2 linked regions of the Sus scrofa genome follow. The protein of the gene in region 1 interacts with the protein of each later gene in a biochemical or structural test. Links are inferred from orthologs where the notes say so. Each region holds a gene or a part of one and is shown on either strand. Other genes may lie near its edges.

The links.
Region 2: the proteins of RAD18 (region 1) and UBE2A form a complex in vitro, tested with the Homo sapiens proteins (12 studies listed by BioGRID, with this or other methods). The link is inferred for Sus scrofa from reciprocal best matches to the Homo sapiens genes RAD18 and UBE2A.

Annotation. Positions count from the first base shown.
Region 1 is NC_010455.5:65,356,008-65,360,486, reverse strand, and holds the start of RAD18 (E3 ubiquitin-protein ligase RAD18), read left to right. Parts: upstream 1-1,423; coding exon 1,424-1,474; intron 1,475-2,952; coding exon 2,953-3,034; intron 3,035-4,479. UniProt on the Homo sapiens protein: E3 ubiquitin-protein ligase involved in postreplication repair of UV-damaged DNA. Postreplication repair functions in gap-filling of a daughter strand on replication of damaged DNA.
Region 2 is NC_010461.5:97,923,457-97,928,039, reverse strand, and holds the start of UBE2A (ubiquitin-conjugating enzyme E2 A), read right to left. Parts: upstream 2,905-4,583; 5' UTR 2,835-2,904; coding exon 2,832-2,834; intron 1-2,831. UniProt on the Homo sapiens protein: E2 ubiquitin-conjugating enzyme that accepts ubiquitin from the ubiquitin-activating enzyme E1 and transfers it to a E3 ubiquitin-protein ligase. In vitro catalyzes 'Lys-11', as well as 'Lys-48'-linked polyubiquitination.

The sequences.
Region 1 (4,479 bases):
AATTGAAAACATCTCTGCCTCATGGGTCAGAAGTTCCTTATGAAGAGAGTCTGAAAGAGTGAAGCATTAACCTCTCTGAGCCTCCATGTCTTCATCTGTAAAATGGCAATAACAATCTCACTTCTGCCTACTTTACAGGGAAGCTCTGACTGGTCAATGGTAAGTACTTAAAAAAAAAAAAAGATTTGTTGAAGGAGTGAGTACATGGACTATGTGGGGGTGCCAGTGACAAGCCGCAGAGGTCTTCCCTGAACAATGTAACTGTGCTGATTTGCTGCCCATGAAACCTAATGTGATGGAGGCCCACATCAGGCAGGGGATCAGTGCTGAGTTGAACAGACAGACTGGATAGTGTGCTGATCAGTGCTTCATGTTTGGGTAATGGACACTCATACTCGATTGGTGAGTGTTTAAATATACTGGTACAGCCTTTTTGGAAAAGTCTAGCTATAACAGTGATAAAACAGCACACAAATTAACCTAGTAATTCCATCTACTAGAAATCCCCTAGATATTCTGGCTCAAATATGCCAAGATTTTCATAGATAGTAAGTATGTTCACTTCAACTCTTTGCAATATCGAAAAACTGGAAATAATGTAAAGTGTCCTCAGTATGGGAGTGGATACATAAATTTCAGTAATCTGTATGATGGACAATGTAGCTATTAAAAAGAATGAGATAAATCCATAAAACGGAGCCGTTTCAGGAGGAATCTAAGTTAACCGAAAAATTCAAATTGACAAAAGTATGATTTACCACAATAATATTCGTGGAAAAAAACTGTAATTATGTATCTGCACAGGAACTACCTGGAAGGCTACACTCCAAAGTTAAGATAGTTAACCATCCTAGTTGATGAAAGAGCTCTTATTTAAAGTCCAGAGGCCCTATTTGTAGTCTGGTCAAAGACACCGTGTGACTCAAGGAAACTATTCACTTTTGGGGGCCAAAGCGAACTTTTGTGAAAGCTAACGATAATGTTTACCTCTTAGTATTGTGATGCGGTGAGATGAAATAATGGATTTGAAAACCCTGGCTCACAGCAGGGACAGATCGTCATAGCAATCAGAGAAGGTGACTGGAAAGAGGGGGCGTGAGCCTAGACTTTGAAATGTTTAGCAAGGCCTGGATTTCGTTTGATGCCAGGCTATCTTTTCCCAACATTCAACAGGCATTTATTTATTAAGTGTCTGTACAAAACCGGATGTCGTGGAGAGGCGAAGAGGAAACCCCGCGCGTGCGCAATGAGAGCACCTTTGGCTGCGCTCCGCCCACGTACTACAACTCCCAACAGGCACCGCTCGCGTGTCAGGCGCGTCGCGAAATGCTGACGTACCTCAGTAGCGCGGGGAATTTCGAGTGGCAGTGGGGCACTGGAGACCAGTGGGTAGCGGATACCCCCCGCTTTTTTAGGGGAGACCATGGACTCCTTGGTCGAACAACGGTGGCCTCCGGGGCTGGCAGTCATGAAGGTGAGTGTTTCGGGGGGGTTGGGGGCGCCCGGCGTCCGCAGGAGGCCAGCCCCGGCTTAAGGAGGAGAAAGGATGAGGCGCCAGTGGCGAGCTGGGCCAGGGTACCTGGCTCTTCGCTGCCACTTGCCAACCGCTTGGCTTTGGACTTCAGTTTCCTCCCCTGGGAGGTGCCGGGGATAAGCCTTGGTCCATTATGGTGATCCAAGGTTGGCCTTCGTATGGAACCGATCATTCTCCGAGTCAGCCACAACAGTAACAGAGAACTGGAGGGAAGCAGTTACTCCAAACAATGGAAACAACAGTGACACCTAATTCTTAGGGCTTACTACGTGCCATGCATTATGTAAACTCTCCCAGTTCTTTAGTTGAGAATCTGACACCGTATGTGATTTGGGGTGAATCCTGCATCAGATAACTCTTGATCGCTTAGCAAGGCAGGTAGTCTCCTTTACATTTCTCTTTAATTTCTTCCAGTTACCTTCAAGAAGCCTAGTGCTAATTTGTCTTAATTCCTCTCTGATGTGTCCTGACTCCTAATAGTTGTGCATCTCTCTCTTTTAAACAAAGAAATCAGGACTGGGGCCCAGCACTAGCCTTTGATCTCATTGCAGTATTTTACTGAAAGAACACTGATTTTTGCGGCTACTTTGTTTTTGGCGAGGCATTCCAGTTTCCATTTACCATAGTGGTGAGTTCTGGATTCTCCTATGTTTGGTTAAGAGCAAATACACTATGCTGTGCTAGCTACAATCAGTTGCTTGGTTTTTCTCCTTGTTCTGTGTTTCTCTTTGCGATTGTGAGCAGGATCACCTTCTTCTGTTCCTTAGTTTGGTAAATTTGAGGATTGTGGTGTCTGTTCCACTGACTCATAAGGCTGACTCTAGGGATTAAGTGAAGGAACGTGGGGGAGGTTAAAGGAGGTATAAGGCCATGTTCTACCTGCTGCCACCAGTGTCATCTCTATTGCTTGGGGACTTGAGATAGCCCTATGGTGAAAAGCTGACATCATGGAAGGATCTAGGAAAGCTGTGGTTTTAAAGTTGTGGTGGCTTTGGCACCAAGACGCAGTGGTGCAGTGGAGAAGAACACAGATTTGAGTTCCAGTGGTTCTGGATTAAATTTGCTCTCTGCTTCATATTTAACTGTGACCCTGATTCAGTTACCTAACCTCTCTGAGCCTCAGTTGCCTCATCTATAAACTGGAAATAGAAATAAATAGTTTATAAGGCTGATTAAATGTGTGTGAATTGGGATGCTGTCTGGCTTATTCACTGTGCCTAAACACAATGGTGCTCAAAAATGACTTGCTAGTTGATTGAAGGTATCTAGCATGTGGTAAGCATTAAATTAATAAATCTTTATTATTAGCATGAAGAAATATTATTAGTTTTTTTTTTTAGGGGATGGAGAAAGATCTATGGCAGATGTTCCAATCTTGGTGGCTTTCTGATAGGCATATACGTATTTTTGCATTTCAGCCAGTAGATGATTTGCTGCGGTGTGGAATTTGCTTTGAATATTTCAACATTGCAATGATGATTCCTCAGTGTTCACATAACTGTAAGTATGTACTCCTTCTGTGAGGTAGTAAAAGTGTGATTTTTATGTAATGTAGTGTTCATTTAACACCAAAAATTAGTACACATACTTATTTCTCACTTTTATTTAGCTTCTCTGTCTTGAAGTTTTCAGGTCTTTTCCATGACCTCCCTCTTGAATAGTAAATATTTTGTATGGGCTCTGATGTTTTTCTACCACTTCCCTCTTGAATGCTTTTATGCCCTTTGTAACATTTACAAGAGTAATGGTTTTGATCACTATGTATGTTTATTTATCCAACACTTCTAGATGTTAAATTTCAGAATTTTTGTTTTTAACAGGATAAGAGATAGGTGGTTCAACCAAGTAGTCCTTGGCATGGAATTTAAAGTTTAAAAAAAAATCCCAGTGGGAGAGTTCTTCCACTGAAGAGTATTACAGACAGAATTATCACTTAACTTGCTCTGTGATGCTGGAAAGAATCATATATTGAGTCTATACTTCTCTCTATGAGGCTAGTATGTAAATATTGTTATACTGTAGCTTGACATATGTAGTGCATAGGAGTGCACCTGTCATTGTTCAGGATCTGCCCTCCAGTTTATGAATTATCTAGGCTTGGGATCTCCCTTATTATCTATTTTCCAGTTGATTTACCTTGGAAAGTTTTTTTTTTTTTTTTTTTTTTGTCTTTTTTTGTTGTTGTTGTTGTTGTTGCTATTTCTTGGGCCGCTCCCGCGGCATATGGAGATTCCTAGGTTAGGGGTCGAATCGGAGCTGTAGCCACCGGCCTACGCCAGAGCCACAGCAATGCAGGATCCGAGCCTCGTCTGCAACCTACACCACAGCTCACGGTAACGCCGGATCGTTAACCCACTGAGCAAGGGCAGGGACCGAACCCACAACCTCATGGTTCCTAGTCGGATTCGTTAACCACTGCGCCACGACGGGAACTCCTTTTTTTTTTTTTTTTTTTGTCTTACCTTGGAAAGTTTAAAAAAAAAAATTAGGCTTAAAAAATGGTTTTGTGGGAGTTCTCTTTGTGGTGCAGTGGAAACAAATCTGACTAGTATCCATGAGGATGCGGGTTCGATCCCTGGCCTTGCTCAGTGGGTTAGAGATCCAGCATTGCCATGAGCTGTGGTGTAGGTCACAGACACGGCTCGGATCCTGCGTTGCTGTGGCTGGCAGCTGTAGCTCGATTTGACCCCTACTGTGGGAACTTGCATATGCCACATGTGTGGCGCCAAAAAAAAAAAAAAAAAAAAAAAGGTTTTGTGAATAGTCGTAGCTTTGGTGAAAATTTTCTATCAAGAAGACAATAAGAGGATAGTGGTGGCAGCAACACAGGCATTAGGGATACATTCGGGCTTGACTCTTCCCTTCCCACTTACTAGGTGGATGAAATTGCAAATCCTAGCATGTCTTCAAATTTGAAACTTTGGTAAGAAGTTTCTGCCTTAGAA
Region 2 (4,583 bases), on another chromosome or scaffold:
AGTGAAAGGAGATCTTTTGCTTCCAAAGGCCTCAGTGCATCACCTCTCCCCAGAAGCTTCTTTCCCCAGGGAGTCAAGTCACAAACTTGGTAAGCAGATCTCATGAATTCCTTGAAATACTACAAGAGCAAAGGGAACCCCAGCAATCACCCAGTGCCCCCGGGCAGGCCAGCAGGCAGTGGGGTCTTGGTGTGGGGTGCGAGGCCGAATGGATTCATTTTTGGCCTTTGTTCCCTTGGATAATGAGTGTGGTAAAGTAAGTGCTCTTAGAGTTCAGAATTATTACTCTCACCACATATTCCTCTGCAGTCCTTCCCCAATTGTCCTTTTCTTTCTTTACAACCTTTGCTTTGTGGGGGGGGGATTCATTTTCTCTAGGACATGTGGCACTTTCTTGCGACTGTTTTAGAGATCTGTAGGTCAGGGATCAATCCATTACATCAGTCTCCCATGGATGAAGTGAAAATCATTTAAAGCATTCCAATCAAACCATAACAGTTATAATAAATAGCAAAATTGTGTACTGTGGGTCCTGCATTGTTCTAAGCGCTTTGCCCACATTCACCCCTGGAATCTCCACACTAGTCTTTCGAGGTAGGTATTGTTGTACCTACCAGATGGGGAAACAGAGGCGCAAAGCAGTTAAGCAACAGTTGGATAGTCATCAAGTGAGAGAGTTTGGCTCCAAAAGGTCTCCTGAGCCATTCCCGAGCAGGAAGATGGGGAGCCGAGGGGAGTCCGGGACTGGTCACGCCTCTGCCCTGATTGACGGGGCTGCCTCCACATTCCTTCTAGTCCAGCTCCACCAGCAGGAGGCGATGCAGGTTTTGTGGGGGTAACAGTTTATGAGTAGGTAATTTGGGTGCCCTGTTTAAAAAAACCCAAAGGTATCTTCCTTCCAAAAATTTTGCAAAACTGGATGATCAAATGAATATGTTGCTACGGCACAGGCTGGCTCCGAGGCTGAGGCATCGTAAGGTTCACGGTACCTCTCTCTCTGCGTTGAGATGGCTCTGCTCCCTGCCCCGCAGGGCACTGGAGGCTCGTTTAGCCAGAAGAGTTTCCCTTTGCACTCCCAAACACGAGGCCCTCGGAAGCTGATCTGTCAGTAGCCATCCAACCTGTCAATAGCCAGCCAACCGACTTTGCCCCGGTTATGTCTTTACGGCCACAACCATCCCCGTTGTGGGAGTGAAAACATTAAAGACGGCGGAAACGTGTCAGGTGATTAGATAGAGCAATCTCGACATATGTAAATCTCGACAGTGCTAAATTTCCTCCCTGGGTTATGAAAGTTGCCCAGGGAAATGCAATCCGTTTTTCATTTGATGGACCATCAAAATGAGACTCCTCTTCGAGGGACAGTCATGGAAAAGCCAGGGATTAATACTCTTTTCATTTAACTCAGTTGTGTCTCCAAAGAGGGTACAGTGAAAGTACTGCCCAATCTGTTACTTGAACATTGTTTATATTTGTTGCTGGGATACCAAAGGCTCTTTTAAGCCTTTGGCTAAGGAGAGCACCATGCATCTGAACTTGTTCACCTGCACTTAAAGCAAATAATGGCTGAAATGATGGGAAAGCTCCTCCAAACATTTTGAGTGGAAAACAAGGCATTTTTTGTGTGTGTCCAGAAATTGCGGCATCCAATATTTGTTGTTCAAATAAATCTCCGCCTGCATACCGAAGTGCACATTACACATAATAAGACAAAGCTTTGAAAAGATAGATGTTAATTATTTTGAGATAAATCAGATTACCTTTGACCCAAACTCCACGCTGCAATTTTGTTGCTCAGCTTCTTGGTCCCGAAATTAATGTAAATCTTTACATTTGTAATTTTACTTGCCAACTCCAACCCACCCACACAGTCTGCAAATGACTGTTCTGAGTCAGAGACTATTCACTTACGACTGTGTTAGATATTTTAAAATGTTCTCAGGAAAGATTAAACCGCCTAATCCTGGTCCTTTCATAGATTCCACTTTATGTAAAAATGATGGAGTCAGAGAACCTCTAAACTGGAAGGGACTTTGGAGGAGAAACTAAGGCTCCGATATGGGAGGGGACTTGCCCCCAGGTCATTCGGTGACCAAAGCTAAAACTGCACAGGAAAAGACCTGGCTTCCTTTTAAGGTTTTAATAAAGGATCACACTTAGAAATCCTTGCTCAGAGTCCAGAAGCTGCCCCTTCCCCATCCTCCTGCCTCTGACAGCATCCGTGAGTCCTGGTACCCCACAGTCTGACACCGCTCTAAAACAAACATGCCATTTTGAATCCAAGCAGTCAGAATATGAATCAGATAAAAAACAAATCAGCTACTCTTACAACCCTATGCATCACATCGGCGGGGCGGGGGAGCGTGTGGCTAGACAAGAAACTGTTCCTAATGGTTATTTTTGAAGAGGGGGATCTGGGATGAGGGAAGGAGGACCAGGAGATGTTTGCTTTTCAGTTATATCTTTACTGTTCAACTTTGATTACTATGGATAGGTATTAACGGGTTGAAAACCTCAAAGACAAATTAGAAATATTATGCTCATAAACTTCACAGGAGAAAAGAAATTTACCCCAGGAACCCTGACGCTTGAAAATCTATTATCCGCTATAGCAGTACTTTACAATTGTTGTCGACCGAAGTATCCATAATGGCAGAGGAGGCTGAAAGGTACCCCCCGCCCCCGCCCTGGGTCTGAGGGCAGTGCCAGAAAACGGTCCCCGGTACATAAGAACTCTCTTTGCAGCTTTAAAACGCATTCAAACTGTGCAATAGACTCTCTAACATATCCACATCTCTTTTAATACGAAAATAATGGCTTAAATGACTTACCATCCACGACAACTGCCCCTGTGGGGAGACACCCTGGTTTCTTTCTCCAGCGGTCGGAGCACCGGGAGCACACTGCCTCCAGTGACTGAGCCGAGTGGCCCCTGGAATGGGGAGCGCGGCTGTGTGTGAGCTGACCTGTATTCCGGCTCTCTCACCTGGAATCAGGCTTCACGGATTCTATTAGGCATTGAATAGTAACAAAACAACGGCATAAATTAGGGGGTTGCTAAGATTGTGTACCATCAATGTTCGCATGAGCATAATGGACATAATGAATTCTATAGCACTATCCTGCACAGCTTGGAGAGATTAAAACCACTTTGTCTTTAAATTAAATTTCAAAAATCATTGAACAACAAGAATAGAAAGAAGAGAGAGAGGGAAAAAAAAAACCCTCATCTATGTCAGCCACCCAATTGTCAGAGGCACCACTTGCTTTCTGATCATTAATGCTCGGTCCTAGGTTTATTTTAATAGCTGCCAGCGCAGTGAGTCCACAGCTATTGTAATAACTATAAAGGGGGCTTGGGCTCTCTTGTACTGTGGTTTGCAGCCCTCAGTGGAGAGCCTCTTATCCCCTTTCAGGATCAAATTCTCTGCAAAAGACCGAAGCTGAAGTTTATTTTATATAAATGCTCCACAAAATAGTATGTCTAGGCTGTTGCAGAGAAAGAAAAGTGGGTTTGAATTCATTTTTGAGTAGTTCTCTGCTTGGGCAGATCTTCCTTCAACAAAATGGATGCTTAATTATGAAAAAATTCACAGAATTCACAGTAGGGTGCTTACTAGATGCCAGGCGCCACGATGATTGCTCTTCATGCTTTATGTTACTCAATTCTCACTCCCAACATCCCTAGGAAATAGGGCTAGCACATAAAATATCCCCATTTTACAGACGAGGAAACTGAGACCTGGGATTAAGTGACTCGCCCAACACCGTACAACTGAGCAAGCTGCGGAGTCAGGATTCAAATCCAGGTACTAAGATTTCTGGGAGTTGCCGTTGTGGCTCAGTGGGTTAAGGATCCGGTGTTGCCACAAGCTGCGGCATAGGTCACCTGCCAACGCGGCTCAGATCTCGCGTTGCTGTGGCTGTGGCATAGGCTGGCAGCTGCAGCTCCGATTGGACCCCTAGTCTGGGAACTTCCATATGCCGTAGGTGCAGCCCTAAAAAAACCCCCCAAAACCCAAAGATATCTGGAGCCCCTGAAATCTTACGTGTCTTAATAATTATTCTAGTTACCATTTATAAAGTGTTTATTATGTATGTTTTATGATAGATGATTTGCTTTTTTTTTTTTTTTTTTGCTTTTTAGGGTCTCACCCATGGCATATGGAAGTTTCCAGGCTAGGGGTCGAATCAGAGCTGCAGCTGCTGGCCTATGCCACAGCCACAGCAGTGTGGAATCTGAGCTGGGTGTGGGACCTACACCACAACTCACAGCAATGCCAGATCCTTAACCCACTGAGGCCAGGGATCGAACCAAAATCCTCATGGATACTAGTTGGGTTGGTTAAGCGCTGAGCCACAACAGGAGTTCCTACATAAATTCTTTAATCCTTGCAACAACCCTAGGAGGCAGGCATTATGATTATCTTCATTTTATAGAAGAGGAAAACGAGGCTTAGAGAAACTAAGTAACTTAGGGGCAGAATCCAGGCTTCTCTGATACCAGTAGAGTTTTGGTTAAGTAACTTTGTGTGTGTGTGTGTGTGTGTGTGTGTGTGAGAATTCTCAACAACTAAGCTACA